Schizosaccharomyces pombe: one gene and its partners. The gene in region 3 interacts genetically with the main gene of each other region. Each region holds a gene or a part of one and is shown on either strand. Other genes may lie near its edges. The genes, in order: pof9, fml2, gdh1 and prw1.

The links.
Region 1: mutations in gdh1 (region 3) and pof9 together harm fitness less than expected from each alone (positive genetic interaction), as found in Schizosaccharomyces pombe (one large-scale study listed by BioGRID).
Region 2: mutations in gdh1 (region 3) and fml2 together harm fitness less than expected from each alone (positive genetic interaction), as found in Schizosaccharomyces pombe (one large-scale study listed by BioGRID).
Region 4: mutations in gdh1 (region 3) and prw1 together harm fitness more than expected from each alone (negative genetic interaction), as found in Schizosaccharomyces pombe (one large-scale study listed by BioGRID).

What each region holds. Positions count from the first base shown.
Region 1 is NC_003423.3:1,867,520-1,874,139, reverse strand, and holds pof9 (F-box protein Pof9), read right to left. Parts: upstream 2,308-6,620; 5' UTR 2,294-2,307; coding exon 1,929-2,293; exon of another isoform or gene 1,859-1,928; coding exon 820-1,858; downstream 1-819. Other genes in the region: phosphoserine phosphatase Ser2, read right to left, coding at 2,839-2,937, 3,009-3,806; SPOM_SPBC3H7.08C (uncharacterized protein), read right to left, coding at 4,297-4,538, 4,699-4,750, 4,820-4,888.
Region 2 is NC_003424.3:2,114,643-2,123,651, reverse strand, and holds fml2 (ATP-dependent 3'-5'-directionality DNA helicase fml2), read right to left. Parts: upstream 7,128-9,009; 5' UTR 6,784-7,127; coding exon 4,432-6,783; 3' UTR 4,291-4,431; coding exon of another isoform or gene 4,082-4,290; 3' UTR 4,039-4,081; coding exon of another isoform or gene 3,863-4,038; 3' UTR 3,815-3,862; coding exon of another isoform or gene 3,737-3,814; 3' UTR 3,678-3,736; coding exon of another isoform or gene 3,600-3,677; 3' UTR 3,557-3,599; coding exon of another isoform or gene 3,533-3,556; intron 3,497-3,532; 3' UTR 3,490-3,496; downstream 1-3,489. Other genes in the region: rad57 (DNA recombination mediator, RecA family ATPase Rad57/Rhp57), read right to left, coding at 1-200, 296-362; gpl1 (Gpl1-Gih35-Wdr83 complex RNA-binding subunit), read left to right, coding at 1,444-3,048; mde1 (5'-methylthioribulose-1-phosphate dehydratase), read left to right, coding at 3,368-3,489, 3,533-3,556, 3,600-3,677, 3,737-3,814, 3,863-4,038, 4,082-4,290; tfs1 (general transcription elongation factor TFIIS), read left to right, coding at 7,271-7,339, 7,397-7,459, 7,635-8,314, 8,378-8,402, 8,452-8,496; protein dsc3, read right to left, coding at 8,889-9,009.
Region 3 is NC_003421.2:1,417,658-1,425,102, forward strand, and holds gdh1 (NADP-specific glutamate dehydrogenase Gdh1), read right to left. Parts: upstream 3,547-7,445; 5' UTR 3,156-3,546; coding exon 1,800-3,155; 3' UTR 1,474-1,799; downstream 1-1,473. Other genes in the region: lmb1 (plasma membrane LMBR1-like multi-pass membrane protein, human LMBRD2 ortholog, implicated in signaling), read left to right, coding at 1-1,326; TTT co-chaperone complex, armadillo-type fold subunit Tti1, read right to left, coding at 4,893-7,445.
Region 4 is NC_003424.3:5,108,432-5,115,199, forward strand, and holds prw1 (histone chaperone, Clr6 and Rpd3L complex subunit Prw1), read right to left. Parts: upstream 3,452-6,768; 5' UTR 3,444-3,451; coding exon 3,359-3,443; exon of another isoform or gene 3,289-3,358; coding exon 3,183-3,288; exon of another isoform or gene 3,106-3,182; coding exon 2,001-3,105; 3' UTR 1,863-2,000; downstream 1-1,862. Other genes in the region: Ca(2+)/Mn(2+)-transporting P-type ATPase P5 type Cta5, read left to right, coding at 1-1,637, 1,684-1,862; fun14 (integral mitochondrial outer membrane (MOM) protein), read left to right, coding at 4,711-4,938, 5,050-5,265; serine/threonine protein kinase Hal4, read right to left, coding at 6,073-6,768. UniProt on the Schizosaccharomyces pombe protein: Has a role in chromatin assembly and chromosome segregation. Involved in the deacetylation of histones.

The DNA of each region.
Region 1 (6,620 bases), on a different chromosome or scaffold from region 3:
GAAACAAAGAACAACGATGATGATGATGATGATGATGAAGGCAAAGAAAAAAAAGTGTTATAATATAGTTGTTAACAAAAATAAATCAGACACTGTGGAATTACAAATAAATCAGTAATACTTGCTAATTGCATGAAAAGGAAAATAGCATCCCGTAATCTTCAATTGCCCTTCAATCAATCCACGATTTTTTAAATCTGGAAATTTTCGCACAACAGATTTCAGGTACAAGGTAGTCAACCCAACAAGAAAAAATCGTCTCTTAAGATCGATTTCTGCCTGAAAATACCGGTTTTCTCGACACCTGGATCTGTAAACAAAACCCCCAAGTTAGGGTCGCCAGAAAAAAATGGGGTGGTTAGGAATATTACAAACCACCAACGCAAACGACAAATAGAGAGCAAGAGCCCAACAAATTTTGACCACCGAGGATTTAATATGAAAATCGGTAACCTTCCTTACAGTCCAAATCAATTAAAAAAAATAATAATGTTTGGTAAAAACTCGTCGTAGTAGCACAGTAACTTAATTCACAGGGGTCAGGAATATAAATTGGTCAATGTGTGTACTTTATGTAATTGCGATACAGGAAGAAGGAAAAAAAATTTTCTCACTTATTTAATCACCGTTGTGTTTTCCTTGTGCTGCTTTTTTTTATAATTGGCTTACCTAGAGGAATTAGTAAAAATAGAGATAAATTCGGAAGTCCGAGGTGGCCGAGATATTTATTTATTTCACTTACTTAGCGGACAAAATAAAATCCTTCTCTAGTGCGCACGCGGAAATTAGCTTACCAAGCAAAGTTGATCACTATTTCACCTAGCCGTCCCTTTCCAAAGTCCGAGTCGCAGGGGCAGCTAAAAAGCGCAACGCTGGAACTCTGGATGGTCGGATGATAGAAAAAGTTGTAATTGGAGGCACATTGACTTCGGGTAAAACAGATTCCGAAATGGCGAGAGCAGCACTTTGCCATCCGCCGGCTGCAACTGAATAGCAAGTTCCTGAAAAGTGAATTTGATGTGGAATGGAAACGATGTTGCGTGCGGTGCGTGGATCAGAAACAATGCTGGGATCAGATGTCTGTTCTTGCAAATGAAGAGAACCCAAACCTAAACACCCACAATAACGTAATTCAACACCCCACGACCATATGGAATGATCGCTTGTTAAGTAAAGATGATGATGATCGCCATGCGCCAATTGCTTAATTCCTCGGTTCTGGAGAAAGTCGTGGATAACCGGGTCATCATCGACCTGCTTGGTATTAGCATGACCCATGTAAACAGTATTGCCATCGTCCGATAAACATGTGAAAGTTTCAAAGCTGCCTGCTAAATGCCAACCTTGATGGGGGTCGTGCGAAGCGAACCTCTTCAATTCTCTTCCTAGCGTGTGTTGTGTAGCTTGGTCCAGGTCTAAACGAAACACGGCGCCTTTTTTCTGAGGTGATGCGACAGTATACACTAGGAATCCTGCGCAGTGAACATAATCGTTCAGCACGAATTCCTTCATCGATGCCTCTGGCTGGAAAAGTTGCGCTTCACTTTCTCGTCCAGTGTGCCAGACAAGAAAGCCAATGCCCGGCACATACGCCGAATGCGAGTCCCAACCTGATTTAAAATTAGCAATTCTTCCGCGATAGGCTGATAGCATATTTTGTTCATCTGTCAAGCAAATTCGTGTTTTTAGAGATACTTGATACAAGTGTCCCGTCTCACCGAGTGCAAGACAAAACTCTCGACCAGCATGGATTTTCACAATTGGCTCTAAATCTCTCATCAATTCGGGCCCAACATTGTTTGGTACCCCCGTAACATATAAATTTCCGTTTTCATTTAATAAATACATCCCATAACCTCTAAATTCCGCATAGGGAATAGTTAGTCATTGTAGTGCAGTCAAATAAATTCCTGTATCTATGCGCTTACCCAACTTGAACCTGAATAGTAGAACGAACGTCCTTCCCAGTCAATGCACCAGGACGATCTCGAGGATACTGATTTGTATTGACGACGCGGCCCAAATAGTTTCTTATCTGTTGCCCCCATGAGTAAGCGTATCCTCGGTCTTTCCATACAGCATAGGGTCTTTTGTAATTATCATCAACAACTGGGACTACATTGGTGAGACCTTGGACCCGTGCACAAAATCGATGCCAAATTGTTTTGTCGTCAAAAACATACGAAAGTGACTTGCATGTTTCTGACAAATGAACTATATCTTTATAATCAAGATATGTACTAATTTCTAGCAATATATCGTAAGAAAGCTCCAGGAATGGTGATTTAGCCATAATGAATCTCGCATGGGTAGTAGTATATGAATACCTCTGAATATATACAAGGGAAACGGTGTTGAAATACGTCAAAAGCACATGTTTTCTGCAACTCTTAATAACTAGATACAATTGTATTATTTACAATTAATAAATGATAATAAAGAAAGGTCTATGAAACGAAGGTGTAGTCATTGCACGAATCAATTTCAAAGTCTATCAGCATAACGAAGCAGATTTAAGAGTAAATGATCGGCTTTATAAAAACCAATTGAGTAATTCTTGTCTGTTTTAAAGAAGAAAGCTTCTGAACTGCCCCTTTTTTTTTAAGCATTCATTGCACACCCTTTCCAATGAAGCATTGATCATACCAAAATTGTAAATTAAGGAAAAAGAAAAATAAGAGTATCAAAAATAAAGAAGTAGGGTATATAAAAGACGGCTCCTACTACAGAAAAAAAGACCACGCGCACAAGTAAAATATTGCTTTATAAAAACCAAGCCACAGTAGCTCAGAGTTCTTGACAGCGCCTTGCGATTGAAAAATTCTTGGAAATTCTAAATTAATTTTTGTTTTCCAATAGCTTTTTTTGTTGTTGCTCATCAATACCCAAGAGGTAAAGAGCGTTTTGCAAAGATGGAAGATTGATTTTCGAATCAGCCTAATTAAAAAAAAAAATCGAGTTAGTAAGATCATTAAAAACATAAATTTGTAAAAAAATTTCGAACATACCAATAATTGAACTTTGGGTTTAGCTTTGAACGCAATTCCTAAACCGGATTCGGCCATCATGACCAAATCGTTAGCTCCGTCCCCAACAGCCATCGTTTCGAGCTTATTTAAACCCAACTCTTCCCTCTTTTCACGCAAAATGGAAGCTTTTCGTTGTCCATCTACAATTGCACCTTGAACTTTTCCAGTGAGGAATTTACCATCATCGGAAAATTCAAGTACATTGGCATATGCATAGTCCAAGTCCAGTTGTCCCTTGACATATTCAGCCATTGGAACAAATCCACCACTAGCGACAACAAGAGTCGCACCCATTTGCTTAAGGCAATGACAAAGCTGTTTAGCTCCTGGAGTGAAAGTAATTTTGCCAATGACTTTATTTATGACATCGACGCTCAACCCTTGTAGTAGAGAAACGCGACGACGAAGTGATTCTTGAAAGTCAATTTCCCCATTCATTGCAAGAGATGTAATCGTAGCAACCTCTTTCTGGATGCCTGCTTCTGCCGCGAGCTCGTCAATACACTCTTGTTGAATCAACGTCGAGTCCATGTCAAATACTACAAGCTTCTTTTTAGTGGAAAATGTTGCTTCACTCAAGCAATTACAGTCTACATTCTCAGTAGCAGAAATGCGGTTACAAGCGTCTTTAGCATCTTCAAACGTTCCTTTAAGTTGGCCTGATACTAAAGTCCACTGTTCCCCCAGAGAACGAGTCTTCCCATCTCTAAACAAGGAGGAAATCTGTTCAAGCACATTTGGACGATTTGAGGAAACAACTATGGCTGCGTTGACCATGCTTATTAAAAGGTATGAGTGGGTTTGCTAAATTTTCTAAGTTGAAAAGCGTTGTTTTCGGCAAGTCCCATTTACTAATTACTCGGCTATTGATTAAGCTTAACGTTAAACGACAACAAGTACTAGGTCAATTTAAGTTATTTGAAAATCTCAAACAAGCTTATTTTTTGTTATTGTTTACAAATTTATCATTATCTTCAAAATGCTGTATAAATTGTGAAGTTGGTAAAGTGGTGCCTAAACTCCGTTTTCAAACACAGGTTAATAAGCAAATATTTTTTTTATACATTAAAGCAATAAAGCAAGAAATCATAACTAAGAAGATGTTTGGAAATATTGCAATATATCAGGGCAAATATTCCAAAAATGAGAGCCTACCATAAAGTAGAGAGTGAGATATTTGTAAAGTGAAAAAGCACTAAAAAAATATTTGGCAATGTAATAATTGTTCTCTTTCATTCCTAAAAGGTTATACACAATTTAATGTGCTTTACTTAGAGAATCGCTCAAGTACCTCTTCTGATACACCTTTAACGGGAAAAGTGCTGTATTGAATAGCAGAAGGTGCCTTTCGAGGTTCTTTACTCCTATCTCCTCGAGGATAATACTTGTAGCTATAATCAAGACTCTCATCACTTTTTCCGCTACTGCTTTTGGTGTCTTCCCAGGGGTGAGCATTTTTTGAAGGAATTCGGACTTGATCTTCATGTTGTACCAACAAGCCCCGCTGTCCTAAAAAACTGTTAGCTACAATCATTTAATTTAAACAATCATATGTAAATGCGCTTGTAAAATAAATATTCTGTAGGAAAATTTTAACAGAATATTAAAATTGAGTATAATGTTTCATTAACTGCGCTGATTTCTAATTTTCTACTAATTTTTAACATACCAAGCATATAACCAGCAACTCCAAAGGTATAAGTCATGACACACCAAGTTATCTAACAGCAAACTGATCAGCTTACGAAATAATCAACTCAATATATTTTTCAAAAAAAAATTGAGCTTACAAATAGTTCTGGATATTCTCTTGACCAGCGAACCAGGCGGTTCGACATAATTGAGCGCATAATTGACATGATGGTTCCAAAAATAAAAAGTTCTTGTTCGCTTGAATAGTTTGATTAATTGTTTCGAGATGGAAAGGATCTAAAATCCTTTTATGATTGTAAATGTCAAAATGAAATACGTAGGCGAACATTCGCAACATTTATGACAAGCATCAATATTTATGGGGATCGCCACCTGACGCAGACAAGACGTAGCAACGGTGCGCATTAAGAGATTCAAATTTGAATGGATAATAATATCATAATAATCACCAACTCCTTCTACTAAAGTGGTGAAAGAAGCAACTTTCCAATATTTCTAGATTTTCCAGCGTTTGCAATCGGGATCGAACCGCCCTTGTATTTATATTGCTTTATACAGTTTTATAATACTTTTCAGATACTACCTCTACCCTTGTATTATACTATAGAATTTGTTAGGACACTTATTTACTAAACTTTTCCTAAGATTATATTTGTAAATAATAAGAAGAGAACACTAAAAAACTTCGCAAACAAATAAAAATGGTTCGTACCATTATAAATAAATATAGTCATTTTTCAAAATTTAGCTGCCATGAGGTTAGTAACTTAATAGTAGTTGCTGACCGCAAATGTTTCTCCAGTAAAGTAGGTCCAATGTACAAGTACGTTTAAAAGCGTCATTGAGATTTTCTAAGGAATAAGAATTTAATTCATTTCCCTTTAAAACAGGAAATAAAACCAAAGGACCGCTTGGAGTCATGCATATTGAGGAATAACAATCTAATTCGATAATCTTGTGAACTACATTTCCACTAAATACAGTGAATGAAGCCAGGATGGTTTTTCTTAGATGTAGATTAGTAATAATTTTTCTTCAAAATTTCATCCATAACTGACCATATACCGTGTTTCTTGAGTTATTTGTTTACAAGCCATAGAGGTTATTGGGTTATTTCGGGGCTAGTGAAAGTATAGAGATGATCCTTTAAATTAGCCCTTTCATTAATAGCTTCGCGATAATCATAATTTCAATAGTTGCAACACTCTAATAAACTTTTAAGATCTTTTTTCGTTGCTTCCGTACCTTCATTTCTAATATTTTCTCAATTACACCCTCCCATTATTTTCCTGCTAGTTATTTAGCCATTTTAAAAAAAAAAAAAAAAAAAAAAAACATAATACACAAGATGAAAATGGTTTACTAGCTAGTCTACTTCCCATGATATTGGTCTTTTATCTTAGTCTTTGGAGTCTTTATCGAGTCATATATTACTAATTTTTCCATATATTATCCACTTTCTTTACAAACCCGAAATTGCACGGATAGTATAATTTATTAAACTTGATTTTTCTAACTTTGAGCCCTGAATTGTTGTACTGACAGGATGTTCCAATTACAGTATCGATGAAATATATTTAAATAAAAAGTTTGAAAAATATAAATACTAATATATTGGCACTCTTAAATAATTTTTTTTACATTTTATTCGTAAAAAAAAAATAAGTACTTTATTTATTATTATTAATTTTATTTCTTCGGTTAGTATTTTTTTTTTTAGCATTTCATTTCATATTCTGTTTTTATTTCCCTTCTCTTTTTAATACACTCTCATCGATTAAATAGGCGCCATTCCAAATATTAGTTATTAGAGTCACATTCTCTAATTGTTTATTTATTTTGATTTCTTTATTTGCTTAGTAAACAAACTTTGGCGGATGCTAATATTTACTTCACCCTCCATCGCAAAAGGGGTTCATATCCTTACCGACAACAAAA
Region 2 (9,009 bases), on a different chromosome or scaffold from region 3:
ACCTCCATGTAGAGTTTCATCCAACTTTACATCGCCAGTTGTCAAATATTTCGAAGTGACTTTGGAAGCAGAACATCTTACTGGTTGAAGAAGGAGGGATATCTGCTCAATTAACTGTAATAACTCACTTTGACTACAATGTGTGCGTCTTTCTAGCTCAGTAATATCCAGCGTTAACAAATCAACCGTGCTTACTTCTCCTAAAGCTGTCAGTAATTCCGTCTTTTAAGATCCCGGTACAAAAACCCAATATTTTTTTTTTATGTGCAAGCTTATTGAACTACTAAACGCTTACCTAATTCAAATGCTGAAGCAATTTTCTCATCAAAGTAGAAATTGTCAACATAATTCGAAATATCCATCCATATAGTAGAAAGAAAGAAGATTTTTAATTGTAAATATGATATGTATAGTTTTTACTCATAAAGATAAATGAAAATTATATCCACACCATAGAATATTCGAAAGTTGATAGTTTTATATAATGAACAGCTTTGTATCCTACGATTGAATTAAATTCTCACGATTATTTAGAAGTAATAGCACGAACTTCTAACCCACTTTTTCGCAGAAAGAAACGGTAATTTATGTACCACTATAGAAGTGGTGAGTCGAAGATGTTGTACGCGAATTACAACTGACCTGCCAATACCTCTATGTTTAGTAATTATAATCCTTATGAGAAGAAGCCCCGCAATCGACGAATATTTATATGAACATTGGTTTTTATAGAACATTAGCATAGTAACCGCTTACACTTATTTTTTTAACATCTTCAAACCATACATCTATGAAAAACCCCACGTAATGATACACATACTTGCCTAACCACCATTCCTTAATTGATAATTAAGTTATCAAGATATGTGAAATTATATAAGCAGCATATCCAAATGTGTATTGCTCATTAATTGTTAGGCATTAAAATTCGTAGTATGGTTGAGCAAACGAAGTATAAGAAATGATGTTTTACCAATCAACCGACGATAATTCGCTCAGTTTACCAGCTACCAACAAATTTCTTAGTTTATGAATGCTTGGTTCAACATGAAGTAATACTAAATAGAACTTTGTTGAGATTTCTCAATAACAGACAAAATATACATGATACATTTTTCATCTCATGAAACTTCAACTGTACAAAGAATTAGGTAATAGATAAATAACGTACCCTAACGCTCGCAGATTGCACTACGGAGGCAGCTGAAATTCGAAGCAAGGGCAACTGTTTAAAAATTGAGTATTGTAATTGCTTTTGTCAACAAATCAGAATTCTTTGATAAGTTATCTGGCTTTATTAAAAATTAAAAGTTGCTCAACATAGTATTCTTGTCGCCTCAAAAATAATGGGCTTATAGTATCCTAAAATATGCCTTAAATTTTGAATTTTGAATTTTTTTTTTTTCAGTTTAACTACGGATCACGATTACTTCTTGTTTTAAAATGTATGCCAATTCAAGAAAAAGAAGCAATGTCGATGTTCATCGGCACCCTTATGTAGTTTATGGCTCCCCTTTTGATCTTGAGCCGTCCAGAATTAATCAAGGAGTTCCTGTTTGGAAACAAGAAGCCAGGGATGAGCGTAATAGAAAGAGATTTCATGGTGCATTTACTGGTGGATTTTCTGCTGGCTATTTTAATACGGTTGGTTCAAAAGAGGGTTGGCAACCTAAATCTTGGAAAAGTTCAAGGAATGAAAACAAAAGTGTGCATGGAATGACTATTGACGATATTATGGACGAGGAAGATCGTGCTGACCAAGAGCTTAGTAAAGTTTATACTTCGAAAATAAATACGATTGATACATCTATACCAATTGATGATCCTCTACTTAGAGAATTCTCAAATAGGGACGATAGCATTGGCGAAAAAATGTTAAAAAATCTTGGATGGAACGGTCATGATTTTGTTATATCTCCATTTCAAGGGTATTATGATGACACTAAGTTAACCAACCAAGCTTATCACGGTATCGGGTATCAAGCGGACGATGTTTTTCAGCTGGAAAGAAAACCAGTTGGAATGGCAAAAAATCTGCGCGGTGGATTTGGATCAGGTGTTTTAAATGATGATGGGATAGAAGATCAAGATATATACGACCTCGGTGCTCCAAAAATGCGGTATGATAAATCTATCAACATTACAAAAAAAGTCGCTTCTCCATTTACACCCGTTAAGCATACCTTTCTGTCAAAAAAAGACAGAAGCAAAGGGAAAAGCATAATCAAATCGCAAAATTGCTCAGATGGTCTACCTCCCCTTCCAGGATTTGTAGTGGTATTTAATTTACAATCACCTTTTCAAAATAATTGGTTTCCTCCTCCTACAATACCTGAGGGTTGGGAGCCAAAACTTTTTACAAATTCTCAAGGATTTTCACAAAAAAAAGCCCAAACTTCAAATGAGCGCTTACCACTTTTTGCTGAGAAAAGTGAAACAAATTCCAACGGTGAAGCAAGTTTACCTAGTGATGTTAATCATGGTGTCAAGGAAGATGAGGGATCTTGGCAACTAATTGACATTGAGACAGCTAAAAATGCAATGTCTAGGAAAGATAATCCCTATAACGATGAGCGTGCCGGAATTTACGAGATTTTCCTTAAGGCGCACCTAATGAATATGCCACGATTACTCAGAGATATTGATTCTCGTCATTTACTAGAATTTACTCAAACAGCTTCACTATACCGACCTATGTCAAAAAATCTATCGATGCGTTTCGTAAGTTCTTTTGAAGCCTCGACTAAAAAAGAGTCGATTAATTCACATAGTGAAACTGATGATTCAATTTTGAGAAGACCTCGTACAGTTGTTACATTCATTCCCGAACGTCTTCTTTGTAAACGCTTTAATGTCGCCTTACCGTACGGTCAAGAAAAACAAAAGCGTAAAAATATTTCTTCTATTGAAAATGTACCTATTATTGCTGAAATTGAAAACAAAAGTATCGATTCAATTGATACAAGGAAGTTGAATCGACCCCAGGATATAGAAGAAAAACCAAAAGCTCCCCAAACTCTTTTCAGTGCAATATTTGGGGATGACTGAATAAAAAAATTATTAATTGATTTCTATTGTACTTTATTTTCATTAGGTTAATAGACTGTAATAAACTTTTTGTTTTAAGCAAAAACTTAGTACTTCCTATTTATTCAAGTGCCATGACACAATGTTTAATAATTTCATAAAAAAAAATAATAATTATCAAGATAGCTATTATACACATCAATTCTTTACTTCACTTTGTTTGCTTAATGTCGCGTAGATTAAACTCACAGTTACTTTTGCTACTTAAAAATTTTTAAACGTTAATGAAACGTGACCCTTTTCAAAATTTTTCATCAAGATAATTATCATCATAGTAATAATGGATGATTTTCTAAAGAAAGACTTAGGATGTCTTCGTTCTGGCGATTTGAAAAAATGTGGTGAATTAATTTGCGAAATCTGTCGAGATCTGTATACGTCGGGCTGGGTTACAGGAACTGGGTAATTACTAATTTGAATTTAATATAACTAATAAAAGAATCAGAGGAGGAATTACCATTCGCTCTGGGTACAAAGCATTATTAAAGCGTCAAATATTAACTTTCATGTAGAGATGCCATTGTAATCGCTCCCTCGGGTGTACAAAAGGAAAGGATGGAGTTACACCATCTTTTTGTCATGTCTTTAATGTATGATATTATTATTGTCATTGTTTTTATCATTTTGAGTAGATGCTAACCTCTTGCAGTACTCGAGAATATATGCGAATGCCAGCTCTTCGATTGAAACCTTCTCAGTGTACACCTTTGTTTTTAGCAGTATACACGTAAGTCAGCAAAGTTGTTGAACATTGAATTCTTTACTAAAGCAGTAGCTTGCGTGACGCATATGCATGTATCCATACCCATTCTCAGGAAGCCATTTTATTGTCTACTCTATTTGCGGATTCTGATCATTTTTCGGCAACAGGTTTTGAAGTACTATCGTATATTCCAAAAGGATCTAAAAATAATGGGTTTCATAAGCCAACAGATAAGATAAAAATTCCATGTATGAGTTTACAAACTTTTATAAAAGGCTGCTAACCGAATAGTTATCAATAATACTGCTCATGAGTCTGATCTTCATGATAGTTTGCAAGAAGCGATCAATTTGTACCCAGATACTTGTGCTGTAATTGTTAGAGATCACGGTATTTACTGCTGGGGCGATACGTGGCAAGATACCAAAATGAATACTGAAGCGGTAGAATTTTTATTCCAAGCTTATTTACGGAGAAGAAGGCTTCAAAAACCAGAATAGAAATTTTGTGACAGCTTGAAAGACATTGCGTTCTAAGGTAAAAGTTACTATATAACAAATAAATAAGCTTAAACTCACATAAGTTCCTACTAAAGTTTCGGATTATGATATTTTTTTCTTTAAGGTATTTAATCAGTAATTTCATGTACTTTGAAATAATGCATTCGACGTTTTCTTCATCCGCTTCCGTTTAAATTTCTCTTCATATTTTAAGTATTTGGTGACAGAGGAAGGCGAGCATTGTTGCAAAAGTCTACCCCGTCTATAGATGCTGAGCGTTAATAAAGAATGTGGTACTTTTGCGAACTTAGTCAATTTGTCACCCATATAGGTAGGCTTTGAAAATACATTGCGTCTGGCGTTATAAATACAACTTCTATAATCCGATTTAAATCGCTTAATTTTTGCGTCTTCAGTAGGCACCCGTAGGTTGCTTTCCATATCTTCAAAAACATCATCCACTATGAAAGGAAGATACCGTTTAGAACGAGAATGCGCTTGGTTCGCTAGTGTATTTACAGGTGACAATGATGAGGAATTATTGTTATATGAGTTTAATATCAATGTTGCGTCCGCATTGTTCTGTAAAGCTTGAAATTTAAAAATAGGTTGTATGTTGCTAGGGATTAAACGAGGAACGTCCTTTTTAAGTGCTATTTTTTTACCGGATTCAATTACCTTTTGAACCCTTCTGTAGGAAACTTGAGATCGCTCCCATTTAGAATCTTCACAATCTTCGGTAAGAAGCACAAAAACTTTTCCACTTTTCTTACGACCAGTTCTACCCATTCTTTGAATCGTGCGTATCGGTGAAGATGAAGCATCATAGCAAATAATCATATCGGTATCACCAATGTCTAAACCCTCTTCGCCGATTGATGTAGCAACTAGCGTGTTTATAACACCTGCACGAAATTGATCGATAGTTTCTTTTTGTTGCATCTGATTCATGCCAGTTGAGTAAGCCGAGTTCGCCTGCCCAATAAATAAAGAAGCTCGAACCATAGGTCGAATTGCCAACAATGTCGTTGTGATATATTCAGCAGTGTTTCGAAATTCTGTGAAAATCATAACTCGTTGATTTTGATAGCCTTCAGAAGTATCTTTGAAATGTTCTTTCAAAAGTTCAAGAAGATGATTCATTTTAGGATGGTTTAATGACAAACCTTGAATTTTATTGTGAAGGTGTTCTAAATAAAAAGCAAACGGTTTACTAGTAAACAACCAAAAGCTTTGTCCACTCCCTTTTCCTTCAGCTTTATTTTTAGTTTCCACAAGCTTTTGATAAAATTGGATAATCCCATGACAATCTAACAGATACGTTATATGAGCACATGAAATCAATAGCGTAAAGCAACTCATGATTTTTGATTTTTCTTTAGATTGTACATTTTTTGAACTAAAGGAATACTTTCGTAAAGAAACGAAAAGCGTATAAGCTTTTATATTAAGGCATTCACAATTGATAGGTATAAGTTTTTTTTGACGGAGAAAATTAAAATATGGCCGGTATAGGTTAGCAAAGTCCGATTTTAAAATATTCATTTCAGAGGAGATCGTGACCTTAATCAACTGAATCTTTTTATGAAAAACATATGAGCGAATATCTATACTTTCTTCGTTGCGAACAATGAGTTTGGAGATATGGAGGCAATCTACTACCTTTTGAACAGAGGCGGTAGAAGATCCTGGAGTTGCGGTTAAACCAAGGACTCGAAAATGACTATTAGATCTAAGCACTGCCCTCATAACCTGAGCATACGAATGGTTGCCAGTAGCTCTATGAGCTTCATCAAATATCAGGCAAATAATACTTTTGGCATCCAGTAAATGTTCCTTTAAATCATTCTGGAGTGTTTGTGGAGTCATGAAAAATACTCGTTTCGTATTGTATTCGAAAAGTCGACGATCCGGTGATACTTCACCGTTCAATTCAGCGGTAGCACCTGGTGACATTCCCGCTACATTGGAACAAGCAACTCTTTGTTGCAACAGTAATGGTTTTGTGGGGGCAAGAAATATTATTTTGCTTTCAGGAAACCAACGAAAATAGTTTAACATGACCACTGCCGCAATAAATGTCTTTCCCAACCCAGTAGGTAGAGCCAGTAATAAATTGTGGAATAATGCTTGCTCACAAAATTCCTTTTGATAATTTCTATACTGCTGAGTCTGTGGAAAAATCCAGTTTTGCATTGCATCAATATTTTTTGGAATGTCAATATTGTTTTCTAACTCAGTTATAACTTGAGGTTGAGAAGAAGGAACCCTACAGCCTCGCAAGTCTAGTTGAAACGTAGTATTTTCAACGTCTTGATTATGTTTTATACATTTCAAATTTGGTTGCCTTAAAGCAGGATTAGAATTCAACAAAGATCCTTCAACATTACAAAGCACTGAGGTAGGAACATTTCCTCGTTCTCCGTTCACCTCGATACTTGGCAGGTCTACTTCAGAGTCGGAATAGTCACTTGAGTCTCTCAGTACAATCATGAAACTAAATTTATGAAAACGAACGAACACATAGACCAAAGTAAGTTTCAAAAATAAACTGAATATCAAACTTTTAAATTCTTGAACATCAAGTTTCTTCAATTTGATCAAACAACATTATAATCTTTGCTTTTCATAAACAAAGCTGATAAAACAATTAACAATTGAGTAAGATCAAGTCAGCGGAGGAGCATGAAAATTTAACGTTGTAAAATAAACACGAGTACTAATGCGATAAACAGAAAACAGTTTGCAAACTTGAAAAAAAAACTGTCAAACTCAAGAATTCAACTAACAAAATCACGTTACGGGGTGTTGATATTCACATCAGCAACTATGGTGGTGAAGAAAAATCACAACGGTATTAGTAGACATGTGAGATGTAAAGCGCGTTATCCAAAATAAATCCTCTACCACCATAAGATTATTAATTTTGCAATCTGCTAACCAACAGCAGTGTTTACAGTATTCGAACTTAATTTGAATCATGGACTCTGCTGATATCCGATCTGCGAAAGCAGCTTTGGAAAAAGCTATTCAGGGAAAGAATATAGAGGTTTGTAATTTGTGCTATTGGGACTTACAGATGGTTTTGAAGCTAATATCAAGCTAGACTATAATTAACATTATGACACGTTTAAAAAATGAAGTAGTTGCTACCGAAGAATTACTTAAGGTAGGTTTATTACATGCAATATGGTAGTATTCTCGCACGGATTGTTGACAATATATTACATGAATTTTGCAAATTTCACTTAATAGAAATAACATCTTTCTTAAAATACGAATTCCACAAGAGTACCAACATTTGATGGAGAATCGGTATTCAAAATACTAACCAATGATGCTAGGAAACCCGGCTGGGATTAGTCGTTGGCAAGCTCAGATCTCATCCCAATGAGAAAGTTGGTGAGCAAGCTCGGGAAATTGTAAAAAAATGGAAAGCCGATGTTAGTAAAGGTCGTCCATTGAAAACCACAACTACAACTTCCTCCACGCCTTCTAAACATGCGGATGTAGGTTCTCAAGCTCAAAAACAAGTTCAAAAACAAAGCAGCAGTGGTCAGCGTACTTTTAAATCTGATAATGTGAACGTCAATGTGACTGATGACAAGATTCGCAACAACTGTATTGGATTAATGTACAATGCATTAGTCATAGATTCGGATGAATCTTCTTCATTAATAATAGCCAAAGCCAAAGAAATTGATGCGCAAGTACTTGCTAGAGCAGCAGGTAAAACTGGTTCTGAATATCGAAACAGAATGCGGTCCTTGTATATGAATCTTAAAGATAAAAATAACCCGAAACTTAGAGCATCAGTATTACGAAATGAAATTACTCCGCAAAGACTCAGTACCATGACTTCTGCCGAATTGGCTTCAGAAGACCGTCGCAAGGAAGATGCCAAGCTAGAACAAGAAAATTTATTCCATGCGCAAGGTGCTAAACCCCAAAAAGCTGTTACAGACCTTTTTACTTGTGGGAAGTGTAAGCAAAAAAAAGTTTCTTATTACCAAATGCAAACAAGGTATGTTATTTGTCATGATTTTAGTACTTTTTATCGCGTAAAATTTATTAACAATCCGTATAGATCTGCTGATGAGCCTATGACAACGGTAAGCATTAGTCTATTTGGGTAGAATATTTGGACTAATTTTTTTTTAGTTTTGTGAATGTACTGTTTGCGGAAATCGCTGGAAATTTTCTTAAATCTTGGGTCAGCCCATTTAGATACCGGTTGTAAAATAATCCTTCATATTTCTTCTTCTTTTTATTGTTTTAGAAGCACTCTCCTCTATTGTGTGTGTTTTTTTTTGTTTTAGGATCTGATTGGTATCTTTCATTCTAGCGATGAATATATGCATATTTTACTTTTGCACACTCAATACGACACTTTTACAGTTATCCTACTTTACACTTCTTAATAAATCCAAATGGTGTTTTAAACGTACATTTAATAAGTTAACGCTTGATCAAAGCGAATAGATCATAAAATTCGACATTATTAATCCTCAATTAAACTGTAGTCATAATTAACAAGTGCAACGAAAAGTGGAACGATTAATTGTATTGGACAAAAATTTTAACAAAAATGAACGGGTTTACCATCGATACGAGTGTAATAAGCCGTATGCAAAATTGCAAATAATTCCGACAAGAATGGATAATTGCATTCTCAGAGAGAACATTGTCCTTTCCCAAAGAAAATAACAAGCAATAGCT
Region 3 (7,445 bases):
TTCCTATATTGGTTAACATTCGTGCTCAGTTGGATCATCTTACCTTTTGTCCAAGGTTATATGGAAAGTAAATTTTCAACGCCGAGAAGTCGTCTTAGTGATTCTTTTTACAAAAACCTTAGATATTATTTACTTTTGACATTTTTGACATGTGTCGTAATTGCGTACTTGCGATTCGCCTTGCGAACTATGTCTTTCTCCAACTTTAAAGAATTGGTGATTTCCCTTACATACTTTTGGGGACTCTTATTTGTCATATTTCTTCTGGGAAATGGTTTTGTGTATGTCCCGGTTAGTATGTGGAAAAAGGCATTTATTACAAAACGTGCCGCGCTTCTTGAGCGCCAGGCTGTCGGAGTATACAGCAAACTTCAAGCTCGGCTCGAGAGCTACTCTTTACCATCTTCATCCATTAGCTTAAATAACGGCCGGAATCAATCTAGCAGCGATTTTTTTACTTCATCTCTTACTGATCACGCATTCAATCCTCACAGTTCTCCAAATGGAATGTCTAACGTGATCGCTTTACAAACTACTTGGAATCAAATGGTAAAAGAATATAATCGTATTATGCTGATCAAAACTGCTAAAGCATCTGGCTCTTATCGTCTATACTTACCAGACTCATATATTCCAATACACCCTGTCGTTGCATATGCATTTTACGTTTGGATTCTTCCAGCTTTTAGAATTTTGTTCTCAATATTTATGGCTTCAATGAGTGTAATCATTGTGGTATCAGAAGTGTTTTTGCACACTCAATATTCCTTGGTTGGTATTATCTTACAAAAGTTTACCAATTCGTCTGCCACTTCTATTTTTGTATCGTTTTTATTTGTTTATTACATGCGATACTGCACGTACAAATCCTTGATGCGAACTCAATTTGCGCCACATTACTATTATGCATTAGTTCCTTTCCGAGCTACAAATACGGCCTCCTTGATATACTTCGCATCTCAACTTTGTCGCTTAACGCTTCCTCTTTGTTATAACTTTGTTTCTCTACAACCTTATCCCACCCAATTCCATCAATTCTATGGTGAGAGTATTGACCTCTTACCACTTGGAAATCTTATTAGCAAACGTTATCCAACCTTTATACTACTGCCGATTATTTTTTCTATGATTTCTTTAAAATATAGGTTGCGACAATTCATTTATTCCATTACGCTGCGCAAATCATCCAGTGCCAGCTCTTCCGATGACTTTGATGATTCATCACTGAATTCAGAAAACGATGATGATCTGTTTAATGAAACCTCGGCTGCCTATTTAGCTGAAGGCAGAGCCCTTCTTTTGGGTACAAATAATGCCCATGTTTAATTTACCGTTATGAGCCCTATGTATTTTAATAATTTAGTCTATTCTTCACATTTTTAACAGCAATTGTTATTTCTCAACTATTTTCTTATACAAGTCTATCATTTACATAACGTTAAAAAATTCTTTTTAGTAAATTCTTCAAAGGATTCTCATAAATAATAATTTCATACAGCTATCAAATACCAGTTAAAATTAATTGAATAAAGGAGGCGCCTTGAGCGGAACTAGAAAATCAAATGATCCTTTTATTACATGAAAAGTCTACATAATTACGGGTACTTCGTATTCGAAGCATCTGTGAGAATAATTCAAAGACTGATTTATTTTTTTTCGTATGCATCATAATCATCTAATAGATTCATAGCTTTTTAAAAAAATTGGTAAAGTAGAAGAGGTACAGAAAAGCGAGTGACTTGAAAAAACATATACAGATACAGTGAATCAAAAATGCCTAAACATTTCACGAATGAAGTCTACCACCAGTCACCAACGGCTTGCATGGCAGTAGCAACCTTCAAGAAACCAGCAATGTTGGCACCATCGACAAGACTGGGAATGTTGTTAGAGCCAGAGTCACAATACTTGGAGGCGACATCGGTGGATTGTTCAAAGATGTTTTGCATAATTCCAGCCAATTTAGCGTCAACCTCGGCATGAGTCCAGGTAGAGAATTGAGCATTTTGAGCCATTTCCAAGCCAGAAACGGCGACACCACCAGCATTGGCAGCCTTACCAGGAGCAAGCCAGCAACCCTCACCAGAAGCACGAGACTTCTCAAAGACTTCAACGGCCTCAGCAGAAGAACCCATGTTGGAGCCCTCAGCAACGTAGCGACATCCTTGTTTGATAAGAGCGGCGGCTTCCTCACCGCTAACTTCGTTTTGAGTTGCACAAGGCAAAGCAATGTCAATTTCACCAACATTAGTCCAGGGACGAGCACCGGCGATGTAGTGATGCTTCTTGCAAAGAGAAGCAGAGTCGGCAATGCTGGCACGCTTCTCCTTTAGAGCCATAATTTCATGGATCTCTTCAGGGACAAGGCCTTCAGCGGTCTTTGCAATTAGGACACCTTTAGAGTCACTGATACTCTTAACAATAGCGCCTTCTTGAATGCACTTCAAGGCAGCATATTGAGCAACGTTGCCGCTACCGGAGATGGCAACACGCTTGCCCTTCAAGGTCTCGGCACCCTTGGTGCGGTGTTCAATCATGTGCTTAACATAGTAAACGACACCGTAGCCAGTGGCTTCAGGACGAATGTTGCTACCGCCGGTAAGCATGTGCTTGCCGGTGACGACACCACTGTACTCATTGCGAAGACGCTTGTACTCACCAAACATGTGCATAACGACAAAACCTGTGACACCAATATCACCAGCCGGTACATCAGTTTGAGGACCGATATAGCGGAAAAGCTGACGCATGAAAGCTTGCGAGAAGCGACGAATCTCGTTGTCGGATTTGCCCTTGGGGTCGAAGTCAGAACCACCTTTGCCACCACCCATGGGAAGGCCCGTCAAGGCATTCTTGAAAATTTGTTCAAAGCCCAAGAACTTGAGGATGCTCAAGTTGACGGAAGGATGGAAACGCAATCCACCCTTGTAGGGGCCCAAAGCCGAGTTGAATTGGACACGGTAGCCGGTGTTAACACGGCAGTTACCTTTATCGTCCTCCCATGTGACGCGGAATTCTAAGACACGTTCGGGAATGGAAATGATTGGAAGCACACGCTTCAACTCGGGATGAACTTCAAAGAGCTTGGAGCTCTCGATGGAGCCCACAATCTCCTTGTAGGCTTGTTGAAATTCAGGTTCGTATGGGGTACTCATGGTGGGCCAAAAAAGTAAACAAAATCGAAGGTAGTGATATAGAGTGTATATCTATATAATAATGATAAGTTTAGAGAATTCGAGATATCAAAAAAAGGCGACCTCGAAAACTTTTAACAATACAAATACAGGCTGTACAATCCAAAGTTCTATACAAATCCGTATTCGACGCCTTCAACGCAAAGACTTTCAAAATTTAACTACAATCCAACAAAACTCTTACAACGTGAGTATGTAAGAGATATCGATCCGGGTTCAAAACGCTTACCAGATGTACCAGTGCAGTGTAGCAGGAGGATTCAGGGACGTGCTGGCCATGTCTGCTATATTTATACACTTAACAAGCAATAATCAACAGTCACACCAGATACCTTGTTTTTTGGGAGACCATACGTTTGCTAATGGCTGACGACTTGCAATAAACCTGATGGAAGAGCGATGGCGGAGATAACAGACGAATAGGATGTAAGTATGATGTCAAAATCTCCAATCACAATGCTCCTATATATCTCTTTTCTCTATAATTGGATAGTGGAAAAGAAGATTACTTAAGCGGAAAATTTCCGATCTGATAAGCCAACCCCCTCACAGAATTCCTTCGTCTCCTGCTCAACCAAATAAAGATAAGATAAGCATTGCTTAATGATTGGTCCGTGCAACGGCTATCACCCACCCTACTGAAAATGTGGGGAAAACGCAGCTCCTCCGGGAAAATCCATGGAATTATAGAAGATCCTTAGTGGGATGGGGTGCTTGGGGGGGGGGGAAAGATGTTTTTAGATGAAAAAAAAATGTTTTAGAGAGGTTAATGTTGTAATATAGAAGATTTTCGCTTTCTGTTGATTAACAGTTTCTATAATTTTTTTAAGAAAAAAAATCTGGAAAAGTCCAAGTCCTTTGTTAATCTAATCTCGTTCCAATCTCTCACATCCATTTAAAGGGTCTATTCTTTACTCCTTTCAGTTGCTGCCCCCTTACTGATAACAAGGATAACTAAGGATAGTACCAAAAGAAAAAAACGCTAAATACTGAAATAGGTCGAATCACACTGAAACGGGTAGGTTCTTCCAGGCAGACCAAATCGCAAATACATATCCGAAAATTCGAGTAAACGGCCTTGCCTCGGTTTTACAGTATGGACTAAACATTCGCTCATCCAAACGTATTGCGCCTTAGCAGCCATAGTCATGACTAGCTTTCAATAGAAAAAAGACAAACGAAACAGAGTCATGAAATTCGTAGCGTAGATGTAAGTTAGAAAAATTTCAAATTTCTTTATTTTTTGGTCTTCTGATAACCCACTATCCCACTATCGTTTGTCCATTTATTCCTTGCCCGATCATGTGGCTGTTTGCTTTGAATCTAAAATTGGATAGAAAATAGTTCATTCGAAAGATTAGCGAAACTACGAAACAAGGTGCGATCGTCGTTGTGCTCGGTAGCAAGATGAGTTTGTTTTTTAGTATAATTTAGGTAGCTGCCAGCCTCGTTTCGTCAACTTAGCTAAATTCGTTGAGTCTGACTCATTGAATGTAGGTAAAATGGCTCATCTAAATCGAAACAAGTTGAATCGAGTACAGCCTTAGTCAAATCAAATAATGCCAAGATGAAAAAAGTCGAGCCTTTGCCAATATAATTTTATGCGATGTAATGGAATTCTTTGCCTGATTTTTAGGCTCTTTGTATTTTCTTTTAAAACACGGAAAATTCTAAAACTGGTAACCACTTTTATTATCGTTAAATGATGGAAATCAATGGTTTTTTAGCTCCTTTTTTCGGTTGATTCAAGTGTAACAAATTGTCCAAAGAAGGGAGTGGTTCCTCTTGTGTCTCGGTTTTCCCGCTGCCTTGTTGCCCAAGCAAATCATTGAAAACAGTCTCCGACGTCTTTGCTCCGACAGGTTCCAAAACTTCATGTGTTCGGCGATATGTACGTTGAACACGTTGCTTTCCCGGAATTAACAATTCAGTAGAGAAAGTGTCAATCATTTGAGACCCTCGAACTTCTCTCTCATAATACACTGCGTCGGGATTTTGCTTGGAAAATGCGTTCCAAGTTTCTTCCACCAATGATTCATCCCCCGCATACTTTTGAGACATGTGAGTAATGGCTCGTATGATGGGTGCCGTTATCCCCATAAGCTTCAAATACACTACAATGCTCAATTTGTTAGCCACACATGCTGAAGTTACTTTTAGCATTGCCCTTTGCAAACGATGCTCACTAGAATATGTTCGAGCAACATTGAAAAGATGCCAACGTTGGCACAACGTCTCCAATCGTGGAAGCAAATCTTGGCGAATCCTAGATGTCATAAAATCATCTGCAAGGGCGCAAACTTGATATATAGTTTCTAATGCGCATTCTACTAGCAGTTCGTTATCCGTGTCAAGCTGAATAACGACCAATGGCCAAAATGTATTAATAGCAGGATAAAATGTGTTTGGCTCCTTAGCCAAAACATTGCTTCCATAGCTCAACAATTTTAACATTTCCACTCGTATCGTAATTTGTTCATGTGATAAGAATAACTGCGCCTTTTCCGTGATTTTCCTTACCATATCGACGACATCATCTTTTTGCTTTTCTCCTTGTTCGTCCATAACATTACTATTTATGTTTTCATGATCAACTGTGGTCTCACCCATATTTTCATTTTCTTTGCCCTTCTTTTCTTTTTCCTTCATTGCATGTTCGCGAAACTGTTCATGTCCACTTTTCGTTTCTTGTTGTTCATCGTGTATCATATCCTCTAGTTCATGATCATCTTTTGGAAGAGGATAATTAGGGTTCTCTAATAGTAGTTGAACGAATTCGCGAATCTTTTTACATGGCTTATTTTTATCCTCGTTCATTGCGTCCTCCTCCACCCCGACGATGAGCTTTTTCTCCTCGCCATTTATACTTTCTTGCTTTATTATGGCATAAAGAATTCCAAGCAACCCTTCTGTAAGCCGTGCGTAACCATGGTAAGCATCCAAAATCCCAAAAATAGCATCCACTACATCTCCAATGTACCGAATGCATCCTCCATCGTCATTCTTTATTACATAAGCCATCACAATTGGAAGTTGAGGTGATACGTCTAATGTGTTCAATTTGAGGGCAACTGAGTTGACCACATAGTCAATATTTTCTCTAAGTAACTCTGCTGGCGTCGAGTAGTTGCAATTTGTCGCAATTGCTTGAATACATGCCTCTGCAAACGAAGATACATAAGGAGAAGCAAACGCCAAATGTTCAAGGAGAGGATAAAAATATGCCATTAATTTTGATCGAAACTTTACTCCTTGTAAAGAAGAAATCCAGCTAATGCTGTCAATAGCAATGCAAGAACGAACACACAAAAGATTATACTTTTCCTTTTTCTGCTTATCCTCCAACGATGCTTTCGTAAAGACATTTAATTGCGATAATTGTTGCAATACTTCGAATGAATATTGCTCTAATGAATCAATATACATTTCCAAACTGTCCACCGTTTCTACGTCACTTTTCAAAAGTACCATAAATGCCCAAAATGCACGAACCGAGTTTTCATTTGTTGCTGAGGTAGCCTTAGAAAGTAAGGACTGCATAACATATTTAACATTAGGTGCCTTTGCGAAGCTTGTAACAATCTCTTGTGTTGTTCTTTCCATCTCATTTCCACCAAAAAATTCACCATGGATGTACTCATTCGAAGTACTGGATGTTAAAAGCTTCTGCGAATTGGAATCAATTCCCGATGACTTTGGTACAAGTTGGCTGAGTATACCATCCAGTAAAGGCTCCATGAGCTGCAAAGTCTTAGGAAGATGACTGGATATACTTAAGAGACTTTTCAATCGGTTCAACTCCTCCAATTTATTATCTTCTGAAGCAAAAGTGGAAACACTAGACCATGTAGTAGACCAATCATTTAGGCATTCAGTTAATACTGATTCCATAGTAATATTGTTGAATGATTCAATGAGAGAAACGAGTTTGTTCATCCCATAGTCCCTTAATTTTGGATTTTCTTTTTTATTGATCAATTTTAGCATGCTCTCTAGTAAATGAATCCTACAATCTTTTAGTGAATCTAAACAATCTCTAAATAGGATAAAGCAAAAATCAAATAAAGCATCTTGTACATGTAAGTTTTGTGAAGAACGAAGGTGAAGAATTGCCTTGACGGCATTGCTTAATTGTTGGCAGGTAGCGCGTTTCCAAGACTTTGTACGCTTCGTTGGGCCAAAAAAATGAGAATTAGAAGAAGCATCTTTTTCATCTGGCAAATCTTTTGTGTTATCGTCACTAATAGCTTT
Region 4 (6,768 bases), on a different chromosome or scaffold from region 3:
TTCTTGTGTCTATGTTAAAAGTGGATCAAATGGATTACTTAAACAAGTTGATGCTGACAGTTTATCTCTCGATAGTACAAAGTTAAACGCACATGCCTACAGAGTAGCTACATGTTCTCAATCATTGGAACTTGTTGGTAATGAACTTGTTGGTGATCCTTTGGAAGTCACACTCTTTACTCAGTTCAATGGAACTTTTTGTGCCACTATCAGAGCTTCAAATACTCCACATCCTCCGTTATTTTCCGTATCCAATTCTTTCGATGGACCCAGTCAAATTTTTTCTATCTATAAGGCATTGGAATTTGATCCGGTTTTACGTCGGATGTCAGTAATTTGCTCTACTAGTACTGAGAGGTCTTTAATGTTATTCACAAAAGGAGCTCCAGAATCGATATTAGCTATTTCTTCTCAACAGTCCATTCCAAGCAATGTACAGGAAGTTATTCATACGCTTTCATCTAAAGGGTTTCGAATCATTGCATTTGCATCCAAGAACCTTATTACTCCACTTCAAGAATTGATACATCTTTCTCGTTCTACTCTAGAATCCAATGTTACCTTTCAAGGATTGTTTGTATTAGAGAGCCCTTTAAGAGAATCATCTAAAGATGTTATTTCCTCTCTTTTAAGAAGCAAAATGGAAGTTTCGATTTGTTCTGGCGATTCATTGTTCACTAGTGTTTTCGTTGCTAAGCATTGCGGTGCATTAGACTCATGCAATTTTATATACACAGCTGAACTAGCAGATTCTGGGGATGATTGTCCACAAATCCATTTTGAAAAAATAGATTTACAAACTCAGAACTTTCAGCCCATTCCCGACGGCTTCTCTTTAAAAGATGTAATCCTCGAGAAGGATTCAAGCCTTTGTATGGATGGAAAACTACTTCAAAGATTATTGACCATGCTTTCTTTTAATGAAATTAAAATCTTATTAAGTAAACTAAGGGTTCTCGCTAGAATGTCCCCTTTTGACAAGGCTACATATGTGGAGCTTTGTCAAAAATATGGCTGCAAAGTTGGCTTTTGCGGTGACGGGGCAAATGACTGTATTGCTTTGAAGCAAGCCGATGTTGGAGTTTCTCTCTCTGATTCCGAGGCATGTGCTGCAGCTTCCTTTGTTAGCAAAAAAAAATCAATTAAGGATGTTTTTAATGTCTTATTGGAGGGCAGATGCTCCTTAATACTTAGCCATCGTTGTTTTCAATATATGGTGTTGTGTGCTATAGTCCAGTTTTCTGGTGTCTTCTTTCTCTATTTAAAAAATTATAACTTTAACGATAACCAATTTTTGTTTATGGATCTGTTAATCATATTTCCACTGTCAGCAGCTATGAGTTACTTCGACCCTGCTCAAAATTTGACAAGCAATCGCCCTAATTCAACATTGTTTGGCAAAGGAAGAGTAAAGGATTTAGGAATTCAATCAGTATTAATATGGCTATCCCATGGCTTGCTGACTTTAATACTACACGAGTTGAACTGGGTTGAATTACCTGAATGGCAACTTGAAAAATCAAATACGAAAAACGTGCTAGTGACTAGCATATTTCTTTTAAGTTCTTTACAATATTTAGGAATTTGTATTGGAATAAACCAAAGTTCCGAGTTTTTGTCACCTATTTGGAAAAAAAGTAAGTGAAAATCCTGTCTTTTGTTTATTAACATCTTATGATATAGAAACTTATGTATGTTTGTGTACTACCATTGGCCTTTGCAATATCTATCTATGTTTTGCAAATGAAAATCACATTATCTCTAGGTGTTTGCAAATCACACGTCTACCGACACTGTATCGTTTCATAATACTTTTTATGGGAGTTATCTCGTGCTGCCTTACGAGTATTCTGAACATGTAAAAAAAACAAAATTAAATATATATATGTTAATCAAAAACTTGCTTTTATGTGCAATTAGGGTAGAAAAAAAAAGGAGTTAAAGAGAGAAACAGGTTTGGGACATTAAGTAAAATATCAATGAATGTTGTATACGACCGGTTAACTTAAATATGCCGTAGCATCTTCCTCTAATTGTTCATTACCCCAAATTGAGCGAGAAGGTGTCCAAATTTGAAGAATATTATCTTCAGCAGCGGTTGCCATTGTCCAATTATAATTAGGACACCAATCCATGTCAATTGTACAAGAAGTATGGCCTCCGTGCATAAAAAGAAGCTCCGGAGGACCGTCTTGAGCTTCCTCAGCAGGCTGATCTTCCCCGATTCTTGAAAGATCCCAAACTAAGGTCCTTCTATCGGCTGAGGTAGAAGCAAGAATAGGCTCTTCATGAGGAGAAAAGCTAATTTTTGTTACAATGTCTTCATGTCCTTCTAATGTATGTAAGCGTTGATTAAGGTTCCGTAAATCCCAAAGTGCAATGGTTTTGTCAGTCGAACAAGTAGCCAAAATAAAGTCGTTATGAGGGTTGAAAGCAACAGAATGAATAGGACCGCTATGGGCATGCACACTTCGAGCTGGCTTTGTGGAAGCATCAGGGCGACGAATATCATGAACATGAAGGTACTGATCATAGGAAACTGAAGCAAGAAGATCCTGGTGCTTATAATGAAAGCGTACATCACTGACCTGTTTTTCATGGCTGCTTATATGCACTTTCAAAACTGACGCTGAATCTGACTCGTTGTAAGCATTCAAATCCCAACAAGAAAGAGTAGCGTCTTGCGATCCAGAAACCAAAGTACCCTTAGAAAGAAAATTCCAACAAACACTAGTACAGGGCTGGGTATGTTTGGTCAATCTATATTTGGGCTTAAGAGGAGACTCACTAGCCGAGCTATAAGATTCGAAGGATTCCTTGTCAAAAACCAACACATCATTATGATAGTTACCCACCGTAGCTACACAAGAATCGTCTTGTGGCATAAGCTTCGCACTACAAACAGACTCAGGATGAGAATAAAGATTTGAGATATTAACACGTAGAGAAGACTCGTCACCCGCAGATGCTCCCTCCATTGTAGTAGGAGGAACAGTCTGATTTAAATAGGGTAATTGAATAGACGCAACAGCTAGTAAGTATTTGCCAACATCAGCACGAACTCCCAGAAACATTTTCTGCTCAGTATATCCATGTTCTGCAAAACTATAACAAAAAATAATGGTAAGTTTTTTGAGTCACATAAACAAGATTAAACATTATGATTCAAATGATTGACTTACATTTGCTGCTCTGGATACCATTGTAGTGACATACAAGGCCATTCCAAAGCTCTAGTAATTATTAAATCGTAAAGGAACGGTGAGTTCTTTTTCCAAATTTTATACTCTGTTTCAGATTAGAAACACATTTTACATTGATCAACTAGAAATTGTATGTTAAAACGTTGCAGACATACCTTCATTGATGCATTTTTCTTGATTTATTCCCTCCTCCGAAGCCTGCGCTTGCTTGGAAGGATGGGGAACAGCTGATACAGCCATTATGTTCTAGTTAAAATGATTGAATCTGCTTTTTGGTGGATGGTGAGTAGACGCGTGCAGCGCTAATGTGCACACTAAGTGTTCTTAAATAGGTGCAGGTTGGTTTATAAATTAAGATTGTTTAGGTTTTATATAATCACAGCCGTATAGATGTTTAAATGGGAAAAAACAATAGAAACTTAATCTTGTCTCATGCTTCGGCTAGCGTCTTTTCATCTTCTCTCTCGACCTGAGATGCGTTTCCACAGTGCTAGAAATTGCAACTTTTAAAGAGACTGTTAATTGTAAAAAGTTGAATTACTAAAAATGATTATGTTTGCTGAACATATGTATACAGAAGTGAGATATAATTTGGGTAGCACAAGCTTCCCGATGGACTGCTATAAGACACAAGATGGAAAGATAAATTTATAGAGCTGAGAGTTAAGAATCTTTAATTTAGATGAGTTTTTTTTTACTTTGCTTTCATGCTAATTTCATCTACTCTAACTTCTGCATGAATCAGTGCGTCAAGAACAGAAACACTTTGAAGCTTTTTTTTAGTCACACAAGGCAACAACCGCTTGAGAAGCAGGATTATTAAAATTGGTAAAAAAATTATGTTCCTCTTAGTTTTAAGGTACATTCAACTTGTGTATCGCCAATAGCAAAACGCAGCCAAAATTTCTGAAGTTCTCCTTTTTTTGAATATTCAATTGAGCGTGAATAAAAAGTATATGATTTAAAATAATGATCTCCCACCTGTTCTGCAATCCTTGGAAAATGCATCAAGTCATACTGAAAACCAAACGAGCAAGAAGCCGAATTCAAGATGCCCTCGTATTCTTGCGTACCCTTAGTAAAAGAAATGAGAAATATATTTAATTTAATTGTTAAAATGAAGACAATCCCGTTTCAATATGTATGCCGTTCTTTACATCAAGAAAAAAGAACTTCGAAGCAAGTCATACCAAACTAAAAGATCGTTGATCTTAAAAAGGAACATTATTAATTTTAGAAACGATGATGAAGAAGCACAAAATTACCTTTCACTTAAATACTTCGTACACAATACATTTGTTTACATCTTTCTCTTATAATAAATCTACCTTAAGACACACACTTTCTCAGTAAGCTGATTAAGAAAAAGCAACGAAGATACTTTATCCATCTTTTATTTACATCTTCGAGACATGACGTTTCGTAATAATTCCCACCTTTAGACTAAACCGTTTCCACCAAATTTGTACCTTTTCTATTATTTTTCTTTATTTTTTACTCTCACATAATGAATTGTTTACTTCTAGGAAGAGGATTCTTGCACAGGTTTCACCCATTTCGCCCAGTCTTGTGTGAAGATTCGGCAAGTGCTGCAACTACTATCACCTCTCAATTTAAGCTGAATTACCGTCAAATCTTTATTGGAAGCTCTCTTGGTTTAGCAGCCGGATTTGCTTTAGGAAAATTGGGCCGTTTATTCATCGTTGCCTGCTCCGCCGTTTTCGCTACCATTGCTGTAAGTGCTTAAGTTTGATTCTTTATTTATATTTAGAGGTTTTAAAAACCTTGTGTTTCGCACTGAAAATCGTATTTATCTTTCATAATACTAACACAATACGTTTATTAGTATATTAACAGTAAAGGTCTGATCCGAATTAATTGGCCCCAGCTGCAGCAACAAGTTATAGGTCCTACGGAGCAGTATACTGGATTTCATTTCCCAAGTTCAGGTAGGTTTAATACTCAATCAACATTTCCTACCATTCGTAATTGGATCTGTACAAACCCCAATTTCAAGCTGAGCTTCTTTTCAGCTATGTATGTTGGATTTGTGTCATCATAAAAGTGGCTGAATTTCACCACAACACATTTCGATTTTGATACATTGTTCAGCCCTCGCACTCCTCTCAATTCCTATGATTCCTTTGAACCCCAACGTTCGTTCTATACTACCAATAGTGAAACATTTTGCTCACGCTCCTGTTCAGAAGCTTACTTTTCATATGCATCTATCTAACTATAATTGAGTTTTCATTCATTAACCAATCAACACGATTTTCTTTGTTTTGGTACCGAATTTAATTATTAAGTAGCTGCACACACTAATGTCTTAGACAGTGGAAGTAACTCAGATATGTCAGCTCCGTGCTCATAACTTTCTAGGTTTAGTTAAAAAGTGACTTACTAGTGCATGCAACAAATCACAGACACCACGCTCACTAGTGTACATATAAAAATGATAACGAACGTAATATAAAGCTTTAATGTAAGAATTCTTTAAAAATATATACATATACCCAAAATATGTAGTTTAAACACCAACTCTCTCCCTTTCCTCTTGGCAATTGGAGTGCCGGTGTTGAAACCACATGAGGTGTAATAAAGTTAAAATAGACAAACACAAGCGATTGTTGAATAGCGCTTGGCATTGTGTCAAACTATGAATAATTTGTGACGCGTTTCACGATCAAACCCATCCCTTCGCCCTTCTAGAGTGAATGCAATAAAAAAACAAAAGTCTTTCAATACAATTAAATTATGCATGTAAACATAGTTTAATCAAGACAGTAACAATAGTAAATCCTCATTTTCGAACAGCTTAGAAAGCTTCGAATGTCATGATTTGTAACTTTTAAATCCTACTCTCTACTTACAGACCAGCATTGCCAGCTTCACAAAGAGTGATGGAACGAACCCATTCACTCTTCATTATCTGTTTTGCTGTCAGGCGGTAAGTTGGGTTGGGATGAAGAATGTTGTACAAAGTGTTTCTGCATCTTGAACGTTCAAGCATTTCGATAGGTTCATAACCGCTCTCGTTTTTCCTATCCATCAGATATCTGGAGTAATACTCGTCTTCACTCTTTTTGGCAACGCGCCAAAGATGTCGACCGGTACGCATGGCCATATAGATAACACCACAAGCCCAGACATCTACTGCGCGTGGATCAAATTCACTTTCTGTATATTCTTCTGGAGCAATGTAGGGTGCGGATCCACAGAGGCCGCATGTCATGTGAGCCTCCTTCTCCCAGGCCATTCTAAAGCATTCACCATTACCGAAATCAGTGATTTTTAGACTTCCGCTAACGGTCAATAACAAATTTTCCGGCTTTAAATCACGATGAGCCACACCCATATCATGCAAATAATCAACACCACGCATCAATTGTTTGAAAAAACAATCAGCTTCCATAGGCTCTAGACGACCGGCGGCCATGATAAGCGTATACAAATCGCCTCCCGAACAAAGCTCCATCACTTCACAATAGTCACCCTTGCCGTCCTGGATCAGGTCTAATGTATGAATCACGTTTGGATGTCGCAATGAAGAAGAAATACAAAA